Linked DNA regions of Saccharomyces cerevisiae S288C. Changing the gene in region 3 together with the main gene of any one other region gives a genetic interaction. Each region holds a gene or a part of one and is shown on either strand. Other genes may lie near its edges.

Region 1 (6,462 bases), on a different chromosome or scaffold from region 3:
ATTGGAAGCATTATTACAACAGTCCCCTCAGGTACGCACTTTTAAGAAAGCTTTTGAAGTCGGGTTTATCATATACTGTCTTCATAAACTAATAATAACTTTCCTGAAAAGAATCCCCTATATCATATACCACTCGCTCAAATATCCAGATGACTACGATTATGAAAATTTTAGTGAAAATGCAGCATCCGATCCTTTAGCCATTACGATAGCAAATATTTTGGATTTTTCGTTTTTCAGGTTCAATTACCAGCACGATCTCGATTCGTTAACAAAACAGATATCGTTATTTTTGTCAATTTCTCTCTTTCTTTGCTGTCTTTCTGCTGTCAATACCACCATCTCCTACGTTGTGACCCTTTTGCCCATAAAGTTCCAGATTCTTGCACTTTTCGCCATGCAGAATGATGACACTGCTAATGTACTTCCAGAGTACACCAATAACTCTTCCTATAAGGGAAAAAAGAGAAACTATTCTCAGGAACAAAAAGGAATATCTTTGATAAAAAATCTGGTGGTGTCAGAGTTGACTGGCGTCTACGTTTTGGCTACAACGCTAATGGTTAGGTCCCATCTCCCTTTTGAAGTATCACAAAGATTAAAGGAGCTATTGGGTGGAAAGTTTACCGTCCCAAACATTGTCATAGATTCTTGGTTTGATGAAGTCTACGCTTTTGCATGTGTGTTTACCTTTATTTGCATAAGAATTGCAGAACGAAAGCTTTCCACCAAAAAAGTCAGTGTTGAATAACTGGAGTAGTATGTCGATGTTCGATGTTTATGAGATATGTATTTATAAAATTAAATGTCTGTCGGGTAGTTTATGTAGGGATGAGAAAAGTAGTATAGGTTCATGAAGAAGTACAACTTTTTTTCATTTATGCAAGGGCGTAAAAATTATGGATGGTTACTACTAATGATCAAAGTAACATTAATGCAATAATCAACCAAGAAGAAGCAGAGGGGCATGAACATGTTATGAATACAAAAATTCACGTAAAATTTGATCGTCACTTAAATTTTCCTTGACAATCATATAAACACCTATTAATAGGTTTGGAAAACGCTTGGTGAAGTAATCGTAAAATCCATCGGGTACCGGCCCCATTAGTTCTGCTATATCTTCAGGTAAATCCATAAAATGATGATATTTATTCCTAAGTGCTCTTAATAGATCCATTAACTTTGATGAATGGTATTTTCTGTACCTTTCAAGGTTGTCCATGAATGTTTTATCAAACTTGACAGTCCAATCTCCACTGGGTATTACAAAGTCAGAACCGGCGTCAAATTTCATTAACAGGGCACTTGGAGGGTCTCTGTTTTCAATTTCAAGCCTATCACTAACTTTTAAAAGGAACTCCAATTTTTTCGACTTTGGCCAAAACAACGGATGCCTTAGAACTTTCATAGCAGTAGGTCTTTTTAACGGATCGTGATCAATCATTTGGGAGATCAGATCTGTAGCTTCTGCAATTAAGGATCTATCATGTAGACATTTCATTTCATCAAGACTGAATATTCCTCTTATGATATTGCTTTCACGTGAATATTTATCTCCAAATGGATGCTTCCCTTTGGATAGGATATAATAGAATACACATCCCATAGAAAAAATATCAATAGATCTTGTTAGCCTCCTCTTGGTGAACGGATCATAAAAAGAATCAGATGAAACTACTGTATGCCTACTAGAAGAGTGTTCCGTTTCGACTTGGCACTGCAAATTGTTTGATTCTTCAAGCAGCTCTGGGGCCCTCCAACCACTTGTGCCAGAAGGGTTATTCAAATTTGTTCTAAATGAAGACTGACCAGAGTCTAGTTTTTTGCAAAGACCAAAGTCTGATATCAAAATTCGAAGATTTTCTGCTCCTGTTTGCTGATCGGCAGTAAACCTACTCGAAGTAGAAACGAGAATATTTTGAGGCTTTAAATCTCGATGGATAATCTTTAAAGAATGTAAATGTGCTACCCCGGACGCTATTTGTCTCAATAACGAAATTGGATTATACTCTTTCTGTAATTTCAGGTTTTCATCTGATACATTCTTAGACTCCACCAAATCTTGAAGGTTCAAATTGCAGAGCTCTAAAGCAATATACAAAAATCTGTCTGTTGTTTCTGAACAGTAGTATCGTATGACGTTAGGGTGATCATCGCTTTCAGTCAAAAGTTTTATTTCCATTAAAGCTATGTCACAAAAATCAATTAACATTCTCTTTACCGCAACAGGTCTTCCTTGAAAACTTCCCTGAAAAACTACTGTTCCTGATGAACCGTAACCTAAAATTTTTTCGGATACTACCAAATTTTTTAAAGATTGCTCAAAGTTTGGTATATTTGCAATGCGTGATTTTCGGCCCTTTTTGCCTCCTCTCGAACCTCTTTTCCTCTTCTTCTTTTCTGTGGTTAAATCTAGTGATTTTTCATCATCTTCATCAGCATCATCGTTATCTTTTTCAGATTTTAGACTTCCATCGTTCACAGCACCTTCAAAAACAACTTGCTTCCCTGATTTCATATCGAATGGCTTGGTTACATTTTCCGATGAAGAGGGACAATTTAGCGATTTCGACTCAACTATGGGGATTTCCTTTTCAGGCATAAATCCAATTTTGGATAATAATACATATAGTGGCGGCAAAATTTTGAATCTTTGTAGTATTGCACAAAAAATGAGAAATAACAACAGAAATACTCCAGTCTCTATAATTCGATATACTAGACTTCCAAACTTCAGTAGCAAAGAATTTTGGTTCTTTTCATCTAATTCTCTCGATATTTGCTCGTGTATCTTTTTTCTATATGCCTCAAGGTCTTCTGGTGACATGTATTCCTTTAGTGAATTCATCTCGTTATTCTGATGTAAATCGGTTGTATCAACGGACGAATCAATCATCAGAGGTGGATATTTGTGCGTAGTGTCCAAACTATTCGTTTTTTCATAGTTTTCATAAAGGTGATCATATTCATTATTATATATCTGATGAACACCCATGATTGCGTTCTTGAATAAAGTCTCATCTTCAAAAATTGAAGACACCCTCCAACGGTCACTGGAAGCGTATCTTGATATGGGAGCTGATTCGACTAAAGATGGAAAATTCTGACTAGATAATGCAAACCAGGAGAGGTTCGAAGTCTGATCCAAGTAAACTTTGTTACTCGATATACTTTCATGATCACCAGGATTAAAGGGATGCGGTACCAGTATATTTTCATTGGTGCGGAGATCATTAAACACATCGAAAAGCCCAACAATAATTCCGGGGAATGTCGGAGAAACCCATCTAGCAATTCTAAAATCTAAATCGCTTGCTAGCAATGATTTATCACGGAAAGGCGCTATGCACATGCCGTCCTTTGAAAATGTATTCTGAAGCGCTAGGGGAACATCTAAAACATTTTGCTGCCATGTAGAGTAAGTGACATTGTAGCTTGCTCCATCATAAGAGTGAATTCCCAGCTCAAAAATAGTTTTGCCTATTACAATCATATTTTCACATTCCTGAAGTTTTATCTTCTCCTCAGGTGAGCAATCCACACTCTGGCTCCCGAAATACCCGTTTTTTGAACCAGGTCCGAACGCTGATATAATTTCACCATTCAACATGTTTATAGTATACATTATAGTTCTCATCGATCCAGTGTAGACCTTTTCATCTTCAACAATTTTTCCAGAGTCATTAACCACAATATTTGTTTTCAAGTGCAGCGGGGAAGTTGATACAAGTTGTCGTATGGATAAAGGCAGTTTTTGTAACCCTTGATGGGCGTTAAAGTAGTAAATGTTCCCATCACCGAAAGGTTCTATAATCAACGTTTCATATGTTTCTAACCTCGAAGGTTCTTGTATTTCTATCAGAGGTTGAAAATTTTCTGGTTCGATTGACCATATGATATGACCATTTCTTCTATCTACAGCATGAAGTCCACCCTCAACGTCGGCTGCGATTAGTATATCTGATAAACTCAGTTCGTTCAAGGAACGATTCTCCAAATAGGGTACACTTATAGAATTGGCAGCCCTACGTCCTTTTTTGTTAGCACGTCGATTATCAGCAGTATTCAATAAGTTAGGAGTTGGATATGAGCTGAGTTTCATATTTGGTAAACCTTCAGTGGTTCTTGGAGCAGGAATGGGCGAGTTTATATTTTTATCCACACCATAGTTGAAATTGAGCTTTTTAGTGGAGGCAACTTCATCTTCCACTATCTGCCGCCTTGAGGTGCGAGACGACAATGGGATTGAGCATGAAATGATGGATGAAAACACACAAACGAGCAGTGTCAATACTAACATGTTTCTTCGAAGTAGACGCATTTTTCAAAGTGCTAAAATATTAATTCCTCAGATATGCTGTTTTTTTAATGTGTATGAAGGGTGATATGGAGAAAAGTGATAATGGACGTGGGGAAGAGGAAAACGATGCTTTGTGAATGAGAAAAAAAAGTTACTTAGCAGATTACCGATTATTAACAGTGCCAGTTATAGTGTAGATTTAATTGTGTAAAATTAATATTGTTATAGACTTTTCACTGTTAGTTTATGTGAAGTTGGCTCATTGATCTCCTATGATATGTTTTTCGTTTATTTCTTGTTACTATGTGATTAATCTCTTTTTTTAAATTTTATTGTTGGAATAGTCGAAGGTATTGCCCGAAGAGGCTTACGCTCCGTCTTGATTTTCGGCAATAAAATAGCGAAAACCTATTATATAACAGAGGGTAATAAAACCTCAAAACTACAACTATCAATATATTTCACACTACGCAGCTTAATTAGTAACTGTATAATAGCATTTAAGTTCATTACTTCTTTGTAATTTTATCTTTTTTTTTTTTTATATAGTTTTCAGCGCGCAGCAGAGTTTCATTGGAACGCTTCGCACGTTGGAAGAATAGAACTGTCCCTAAAAGCCCATTAGTCCTTCATTGAATAACCGATCTCTTCAAAAACATCCTTAATTTTGCATTGCTTTTCATCAGCAATTATTTGGGCCAACCTTAAACCGGCATCTCTCAATTCGTTGTACTCCTTTAACTCTTTAATGTACGTCGAGGAAATTTTTTTTGGTGTCTCATCACTTTGACAAGTTCTGTTAATAACAGAAACTAAATATTTTTTGTTTGTTATACCGATTTTTGCCGACTGGAAAAAATAGCTACATACTTTTTCTTTTCTTTAGACAATTGCTCAAACATCTTTATCAGGTTGCCATTCATACTTTCGTATTCCTGTATCTGTTTTTGCTTTTTATTTAACTGTGTTTCCAAATAGTTCATACTTGCAAGTTGTCTTCTGTTTATGGCAAGGATAAGACCATTGCTTTTAATTTAAAATTATTCTTATACTCTGTCTTTGCATTTATGAAGCAGAAATAGAATAGCCGCCATTAGGCAGAACAATTCCGTCTGATGTGATAATGCAAAGTGTGCCTGTCATCTAACTTAAAAGGAATCAGGCCAACCGCTACAGGATATGTACTAGATACAATTACTAAATAATACAAACAGAATATATAAAATGCTATTAAGATAGATCATTTGCGTCCCTCTCAATGTTGTCCAACATAGTTTTCATATGATTTAGTTGCATTTCTGTTATTTTGATACTTTCTGATAATTGCTGCAATTTGTGTTCGTCATCGTTTCTCAACATAGCACGACCTCGAGGTGATATTGCACTCCCTCTGTTACTGATCCAATCCCAAATATCGCTTTCCCTTCCTACAATAGGACTCTTATCCCTTGCGTAATTTACATTTTCTCTCTTCTTCTTAGATGATATGGCGTTTTCATATGAGTTATACAGTGTGCCGAAACTGGGCACGTAATTATATTCTTGACCATCAATCAGCAGCCTTCCTGGCTTGATGATTTGAAGATTATTTTTTTCTTGAAACACGTGAAGCCGAGGAGACCAGAAAAGCATAATGGTCAACCCCAAGATCAAGAATAGTTTTTGAGGACTCAGCAATTTGTTCATAAAAATTTCTGAACTAAAATTATTCTGAACGAAATCCAAAATATGAGTTAAAATGTCTTTATTATCATCGCTCTTACGGCTTTCGGAACTTTTCTGTTCAACCTTACTATGGAAAGGCCTATGTTTATCATGACTCTTCATTACTTTCTTCACCGGTTTTTTGCTTTTTGCCCTGCTAATAATGTCTCTTAACTCGGATAGCATGTAATCGACAGAAACCTTCTGACCCTCAACAGATCCTTTCTCAATTGCACCTTTCAAAAATGATTTACTTGTCCAGTTGATTTTTGTTATAACGGTCATATTCGTGGTGTCATGCTGCCCCCAGAATAGAAAGATTTTACTTTCTACTGCAAAATTGCTACCAGAGGGGACGTCTGGAGTTTTAGTTGTTTGTGTCACCAAAACATAGTTATTGATATCCATGTGTTCAATAGACTCGGTTAGTAAACATTTTGTTTGCTTAGGTCCGA
Region 2 (3,855 bases), on a different chromosome or scaffold from region 3:
CTGTTCTCAGCATTAAAGGAATACCAGAAATAAAAATTTCGGCATTCTATCATTCTATTGTAATCTTTTAAAATTTTTCTAACGACAAGTGCTGGCTTATCAAATGTGGAGCTGCAGCTTATCAAACTCTCTATACGGCCAGTTATCGAATACAAATAGTCCTTTAACAAATTATACGTTTCATTGAGTAATATGGACGGAATAGTAATTTTTGAAACAATTAAAAAGCTCAACGGGAGTTTGTATTCTGGAAGATTGTACCGATTAATTTGAAGAGGGGCCGTTTTATTTGCTAATAAAAACCTTAAGAATTTCAGGAGTAATATATCATTATCTTTCCAACTCAGTACTATGGAAGCATAGCTAGAACTGTTATTTTCAAAGGACTGGGCCCAGGATTTTCTTTCCTTCAAAGAAGAAGTCTGAATTAATCGTAAAGCTGACTTCCCTGAAATTGTTGTGAACAACGTAATTATGAGAGCCTCAAGCAATAGGTTAGAGCATATTTTCTGATCATTAAACATGGTTTCATTATATAAGATCTTCTCCAAATTTTCCACCGATGGAACATAATTTTTATCTTTCAGTAACTCTTGTAAGGGAATAAAGTCCTTAAAATGAACCGAATCACCTGAAGAATCTTCACTGGCTAAATTTTGCCTTTCAGCATAATTAGTAGCTGCTTTCTTTTTCGTCATCACTTTCTTACGTAAGTATGTGGAGTTAAGAGAGAAAAAGTGTTTGAAAAAAGCTCCTCAACGATCTACTGGGCTGCCAAAATAAAATTCAGCGTCAATGGAAAAGCTAACTAATGTAGATATTGCGTGCACTACTTGTCAAAAATTCGTGCTCCTTATTAATATATGTATATGTATATACAAATGTGTCAATACATCAATAGTGCAATTTGTTAAAGTATTTGTATTCATAAATTGGCGCTGCCCGGGTAAGGTAGAAATTGCATCAGATAAAAGTGAGGGCCCATTGTTTGCCATTCGAACACATCCATCCTACGTGGTATCAATGGTTGTTGATCCGCTCTCTTTCTGCTAGGAAGTACTTTACAATCCCCTGATAGGCACTCATATCGCCACAGCGGATGATATTACCAATGTCTACGTCAAGTGGAGAATCACAAACGGGTTCCCTTAGGAGTCTCCAAACAGCATGAACACAGTGTAACAAATCCCATACAGGAGTCCACTCCTCTGGTTTAAGGATGTTCAGACATATTTCTCCTGTGGCTGATTTAACATTGCAGTGCAAAATATTGTTCTGCATAAAACTTATCTTTGGTGGATTCATGGGGTAGGAACTAGGGACTTCTATTAGTATTCGAAACTGATGATTTTCATAAGGTGTGTCTGACGGCCCAGAAATTATAGCTTCCCACTTGCTCAAGTCGGTTTCGTCAATCGGGTTAAGTGACTCGATTATCCCCCGGTAGGGGTTCGCTATGGGGTCATCACTGGCCAATGTTTTCAGTATGACTTTGTACTCCTTCACGATCCTCGACATACATGTATCAGACGTATAGCTCCTACGATTCTCAAGAATCCAGAAGTTTGGCATATTATGTATAAAGGCGATGATTATGTATATTTTATGTTGTCTCCAGTAAGTGGCAGCATAACCCGGCCAGTCTGCGCTGCATGCTGTGAAGCAGTAATATGCGATATATACCACATATATTCCGCTTCCGTTCAGGATTTCGAAAAGAGAAACTTCAGTGAATGACTATGACTACATAGTTGGAGTCTTAGACCATTGCAAATGAGTTATTCAAGTATGAGAGATCAACACTGATGAGAATAAACTCGTCTTCATGATGATACGGGTAACGCGAATGTATCGCATCAATAAATTTCAGGGAAAGGGAGTTTGACGATCTCATGGATGCAACGGTTGAGGTATATAATATTAAGCAGAAAGAAGAGGAAAAAAAATAAATCGGTAAACCAACCATCAACGGTACGAAACTTACATTCAAAATCAATAATTTACTTTAGAAAAGAATGTCTAATTCTGCCAAACTTATCGATGTCATCACCAAGGTGGCGTTGCCCATTGGTATAATTGCTAGCGGGATTCAGTACTCCATGTATGATGTGAAGGGTGGTTCTCGTGGTGTTATTTTCGACAGAATCAATGGTGTAAAGCAACAGGTTGTGGGTGAAGGCACTCATTTCTTGGTGCCTTGGCTACAGAAGGCGATCATATACGATGTGAGGACGAAACCAAAGAGCATTGCTACCAATACTGGTACGAAGGATTTGCAAATGGTGTCATTGACCTTGAGAGTCTTACATAGACCAGAGGTCTTACAGCTACCCGCAATATACCAAAATTTGGGTCTCGATTACGACGAAAGAGTGTTACCATCTATCGGCAATGAGGTTTTAAAGTCTATAGTAGCTCAATTTGATGCTGCTGAGTTAATTACTCAGAGAGAAATTATTTCTCAAAAAATCAGAAAAGAGCTTTCTACGAGGGCCAACGAATTCGGTATTAAGTTGGAAGATGTCTCTATCACTCATATGACGTTTGGTCCCGAATTCACGAAAGCAGTTGAGCAGAAGCAGATTGCACAGCAAGATGCCGAAAGAGCCAAATTCCTTGTCGAAAAGGCAGAGCAAGAGAGACAAGCTTCTGTTATCAGAGCTGAAGGTGAAGCAGAAAGTGCTGAATTCATTTCAAAAGCCTTAGCTAAAGTTGGTGATGGTCTGTTATTGATTAGAAGATTAGAAGCTTCTAAGGACATCGCTCAAACATTAGCAAACTCATCTAACGTTGTCTATTTACCAAGTCAACATTCTGGTGGTGGTAACAGCGAGTCTTCGGGATCACCAAATTCCTTGCTTTTGAACATTGGCCGTTAAGTCTGGAAAAGCTATGAACACAATAAACTAGGGGAGAAAATTTTTTTTTAATCATATTAGAAACCTGTATATATGGGGGATAACAACGCCAATAACATATTCCATCTTTCCATTTAGTTACCAACACGAATACGTATGCTATCAATATCGTAACTTAGTTTTTTATCATTTATATATATACATGGATGAGCCTACGAAAAAACTAAAGCACATTCATGTATCACCATAATATTATTTTAGAAAGAACTTTTTTTGTTAAATTTATTTAATGCAAAGGTTATATAAAGAACGATCAACGAAAATTGTACGCGAATTGCCTTTTTTTCAGTCCAGTAGGCTTAAACCTGGGAAATTGTAGGTATGCCCATTTGTCTTCTTGCCCTCCTTCTGCTGAATCCGGTATTAGAGCCAAATCCACCATTTTGCATCATACCCATCGTGGCCACAGTCACTTTGATGAGGAATAGAAAACAGGAAAAGTAAAAAAACGCAACAGCAGCCTGAGATTGATGACATCTGGAGCTTGAGCCTTGTATGATCTTATTCTGTTCCAGATATGTTTTGTTTTTACACGAATGGCATCTTATACCTACAGCCAAAGCGGTGGCTGCTACAAACGTAAATATGAAATTTAAAAAATCCAAAACAAGCAAAATTGCTGGGTATGTTAATGATGTCCAGAAATTAGCCAAAAACCCATATAATGAATCCGTAACCAGACCATAAACGGCGGCAAACATACAAAAGTTCACTCGAGAACTATGCTTTGTCTGTGTACCTATCAGGCCGCTGATTAGACCTATGGATATAATAAGAAAAACAGCATTTATGATGCGCACTAAATTATCTGCAGCTGATAGCATTTATTATTGTTGTTGCTTTATTGTTATTTAAAATTCCAATGAATATGAAGCCTCTCAAAAGCTTAACATACTCTATCGTGCTTCCTCCCATCGCAAGAAGGATTTACTGATAC
Region 3 (3,599 bases):
AAATACCACCTCTTCGCAACTGGTTGAAAGTTTGGGTATTCAAGATTTGACAATGGTGGAACTCGATACTCTTTTGAGTGCAGGAAATAATACAGCATTAACGGATTCAGAATCTTATAATTTAGGTTTGCTGTGTTCAGATAAAAACAGTGGAGATATTTTGGATTGCCAACTCGAATTGTGGTACAAAAGCTTTGGACCACATGATGAATAATGCAAAACTCAAGAATATTTATTTGGGTATCTAAGACTAGCTTTAAAAGGTTCCAAAACTGGGGTAAGGTGTAATCTTTGTGTATAACTTGGTTTATGAAAGGGGTACATGACATGGCTAAAATTCTTCAGACGAACATCTTTAATCTAAAGTTTACATCTAACAAGTCCAATCTGAAAAATGTACAGCGTATAATTTTACATACCTCCAAAAGAAGAATTAAATCAAAGTGTGCAGATAATACTATATACAGCAAAATAAATGCTAACTTTACATATGATTGCTTTCATTTTAAATCATTCTTTCCAATTATGCCTAATTTCTGTCCCATCTTAACCTTATCACCAACCCTAACATCGAACTTAAATTCAGTGGGAGCTTCAAAACAAAGTACAACAGTGCTACCCAATTCAAAGCCACCCATTTCTTCACCCTTAACCAAAGGCATCCCTCCCAATATTTTACTTGCATTCTCATATACTGCCTGGTAGCAGGTATGTGGTTCCAAGTGTTTGTCGCTCTTTGAATTTGTCACAAATTCTTGATCAAAATTCAACTTGATTGAACCAACATTTGTTGCACCAACAGGAGTCATGCTAAAAAATCCGTACTTCCAACTACCCAACAAAGCAACTCTTTCATTTAGAACGAAAAGATTAGGGAAGTTACGCTGGAAATAAGGTGCCACGGAGAATAAATCACCTGGGAAATGGCGGCGAACCTTACAAACCCAGTCAACTGGAGAGTGGAAATGATGGTAATCACCGGGAGCCAAATAAATGACGGCAAAGAAAAGTTCCGTATCATGAGGCTCAGAGCACGAAAACCCATTAGAGAAGTAGTTTAAAGAAAGTTGACTTAAAAGATGTATATTTTTGGACACACTTGGTTTGAACTCTCGAACAGATTGATCGCCCTCGTTTTTAAAGTTAAGAAGAGGCTGTTCAGTGTCTTCGGAACCCGCTAATTGTATTCTATTTACCCTGGCGAATTCTCTATGCTTTTCCTCATCAGAAGTCAAATCTAGACTAGATGCACTCTTAGACATCAAGGGGTGGGAGTGAGTGCCAAGGAATTCTTTGATGGAATATGTCATTCCCTTGACTTGTTCGATTTCGCCAGTTTCAGAGTTGATTATACCAACTTGTAAAATCTTTCCATCACTTGGAGAAGCTATAACGTCTTCGCCTTGTGCTACTGGACGTGTGCCTGGTTTTATGTTACGATAGAAAAATTCGGATAAATTTGCATAATGTGTCAAATCAGGATCTTCCATCTCGTCCAAGTTAACTCCAAAAAGGAAAGAATATAACCTGTAACCCCATGGTCTAACCCAAATGGGTAACGTAAGAGAATTTACTTGGCCCCATAATCGAGACATCGCATTCAGCGGTAAAGTAGAATAGCAGAAAAAGAGCCAATTATTGTTAAATATTTTGATTTTTCTTGTCCTTCTCCCTTTTTTGCCCTCTGTAGCATCCTCCTCTGTACTATCATTCCTTGACACTAGTAAAATGGTTCCTAGAACAATGGTGAAACTAGTTAAAACAACCCATTTCATGGAGACCTGTTTTCTTCCGCTATTTGCGGCAGCAGCTTTGGCACGATCCACAATCTCTCCAGAACTGCGTCGTTGCTGAACGAAAAGACGCGTGGAAAACTTTCTATTCCATAGCACCGCAGTTCTATTTCTTAATTGCATTCTTGTAGAAAACTTTACAGCAGGCATCCTCCCCATGAGGAGCGTCCTCCCTTGCGCCAAGGCGTTCTTAACTGGCATAATTGACATGCTGGCTTTGCTTTTCCTTCTTCTTCAAAAAATAACGACCAAGAAGGATTTGAGCGATCTGCTAACAACTGGCTGAAGAGTCCTTAAAGCGCTACGTACCTCTAGGCGTCTCTTTTGTGAGTAAGCTGTTTTATATTATAGGTGAAGAACAAATTTTCCACATGCTTGTGCCTGCTTTAGATGTCCCTTGACCTCGAGATTTGAAAAAACACCAAAAAGGTGCTGGTTACCCTGCATGTGATATGTGATTACATAGCGTAGCGTATACAGAAGCACAATTGGTCGTATATGTGCCAAGCTTGTAGGAAATTAGTAACGCATAACGTGTTATCTGCGACAAGCGTGAATGCGACAGACATTATGTTTCTCTAAATTCATATGGTCCCGGCCGATTTTCACATTCGAAGTTCATGTCGACAATATTGTCATTATTCTGCAATAGCTCACAGTGAACACGGTCACCAGGCTTTAACTCGCCTACACCTGCAGGTGTACCAGTCAAAATGATATCACCCGGTTCCAGAGATATCATGGTAGATATGTGTTGCAGTATTTTATGGAGTGGGTGCAACATGAGGTTAGTACCACCATCTTGTCTCAACTGTCCGTTAACAGAGCACTTGACTCTGAAAATATCCTGTAAGTTTGATTTGTAGGATGAGAACTTCTCGCGGGAGACTATAGCAGAGATTGGCATGAAGGTGTCAAAACCCTTGCTTATAGTCCAAGGTAGCCCCTTCTTTTTGGCTTCATCTTGGACATTTCTTGCTGTAAGATCCAATGCTAGAGCTACACCACTAATAGAGTCATAGACTTCTTCGGGTTTCATCTTAGTGACATTGGACAAATGTTTGCTCACAATCAATGCCAACTCAATTTCGTGATGAACCTTCACACCGCGTGGGATAAAAATGGGCCCGGGGTTAGTTCCGTCTTCATTTAAACCATTGAAAGTCGAGTTTGCAGGTCTAGTGGTCTTGACCAATGATGAAGACAATGGTGTCACAATACTCGAGGTTGGTTTTAGGAAAAAAAACGGTTGTTTTGGAGTTGAATTGTTCAGCTCTTTGATATGCGCTGCGTAATTACGCCCAATGCATATAATTTTTCTAGCTGCCTTCAAATAATTGTAGCTCATAACGTTTTGGCAATTTCCTGAGTCTTTACTCGATAGCTTTCAGAATATTTCTATATAGGAAGTTCTGGCTGAAACGTTTTTCCTTATCAGTTAGAGAACGGTGACCATCTCTTGAAAGCGAACAAAAAAACGTGAGGCTAAGGAAGCTATTTAGGAAAATAGACGAAAAAGGAATGGCAAAAGAAGGAATGGCCCTTTCAAAATAGGTATAAGCAGCACAGCTTGATACATGCTAGGGTTGCAGCAGTATAACTGTACTCTCTTTATGAGCGTAGTGAAAAGACGGTGAAATTATAACGGTATGCTCTATGAAGAATAAATGCTGTAGGAAAATTTACGATAATAAAGCCTTTATTGTTGTTGATCAACAAAAGGAGGCTTAAGCAATTGATAAACTTCTGAAAAGAAGAACCCTATTAAAGTTTATATCAAATATAGAAAAAAAAATCTTGAAGTTA

The links. A genetic interaction does not mean that the proteins touch.
Region 1: mutations in PSD1 (region 3) and IRE1 together harm fitness more than expected from each alone (negative genetic interaction), as found in Saccharomyces cerevisiae (6 studies listed by BioGRID).
Region 2: mutations in PSD1 (region 3) and PHB1 are lethal when combined (synthetic lethality), as found in Saccharomyces cerevisiae (7 studies listed by BioGRID, with this or other methods).

Annotation. Positions count from the first base shown.
Region 1 is NC_001140.6:257,268-263,729, forward strand, and holds IRE1 (bifunctional endoribonuclease/protein kinase IRE1), read right to left. Parts: upstream 4,325-6,462; coding exon 977-4,324; downstream 1-976. Other genes in the region: YHR078W (uncharacterized protein), read left to right, coding at 1-751; SAE3 (Sae3p), read right to left, coding at 4,925-5,087, 5,174-5,286; LAM4 (Lam4p), read right to left, coding at 5,534-6,462. UniProt on the Saccharomyces cerevisiae protein: Senses unfolded proteins in the lumen of the endoplasmic reticulum via its N-terminal domain which leads to enzyme auto-activation.
Region 2 is NC_001139.9:754,613-758,467, reverse strand, and holds PHB1 (prohibitin subunit PHB1), read left to right. Parts: upstream 1-2,015; coding exon 2,016-2,879; downstream 2,880-3,855. Other genes in the region: CCR4-NOT core subunit CAF130, read right to left, coding at 1-698; PEX4 (E2 ubiquitin-protein ligase peroxin 4), read right to left, coding at 1,021-1,572; FHN1 (Fhn1p), read right to left, coding at 3,218-3,742. UniProt on the Saccharomyces cerevisiae protein: Prohibitin probably acts as a holdase/unfoldase for the stabilization of newly synthesized mitochondrial proteins. Involved in mitophagy; may act as an adapter for ATG8 that supports mitophagosome assembly.
Region 3 is NC_001146.8:315,669-319,267, forward strand, and holds PSD1 (phosphatidylserine decarboxylase 1), read right to left. Parts: upstream 2,004-3,599; coding exon 501-2,003; downstream 1-500. Other genes in the region: APC1 (anaphase promoting complex subunit 1), read left to right, coding at 1-214; FMP41 (Fmp41p), read right to left, coding at 2,362-3,141. UniProt on the Saccharomyces cerevisiae protein: Catalyzes the formation of phosphatidylethanolamine (PtdEtn) from phosphatidylserine (PtdSer). Plays a central role in phospholipid metabolism and in the interorganelle trafficking of phosphatidylserine.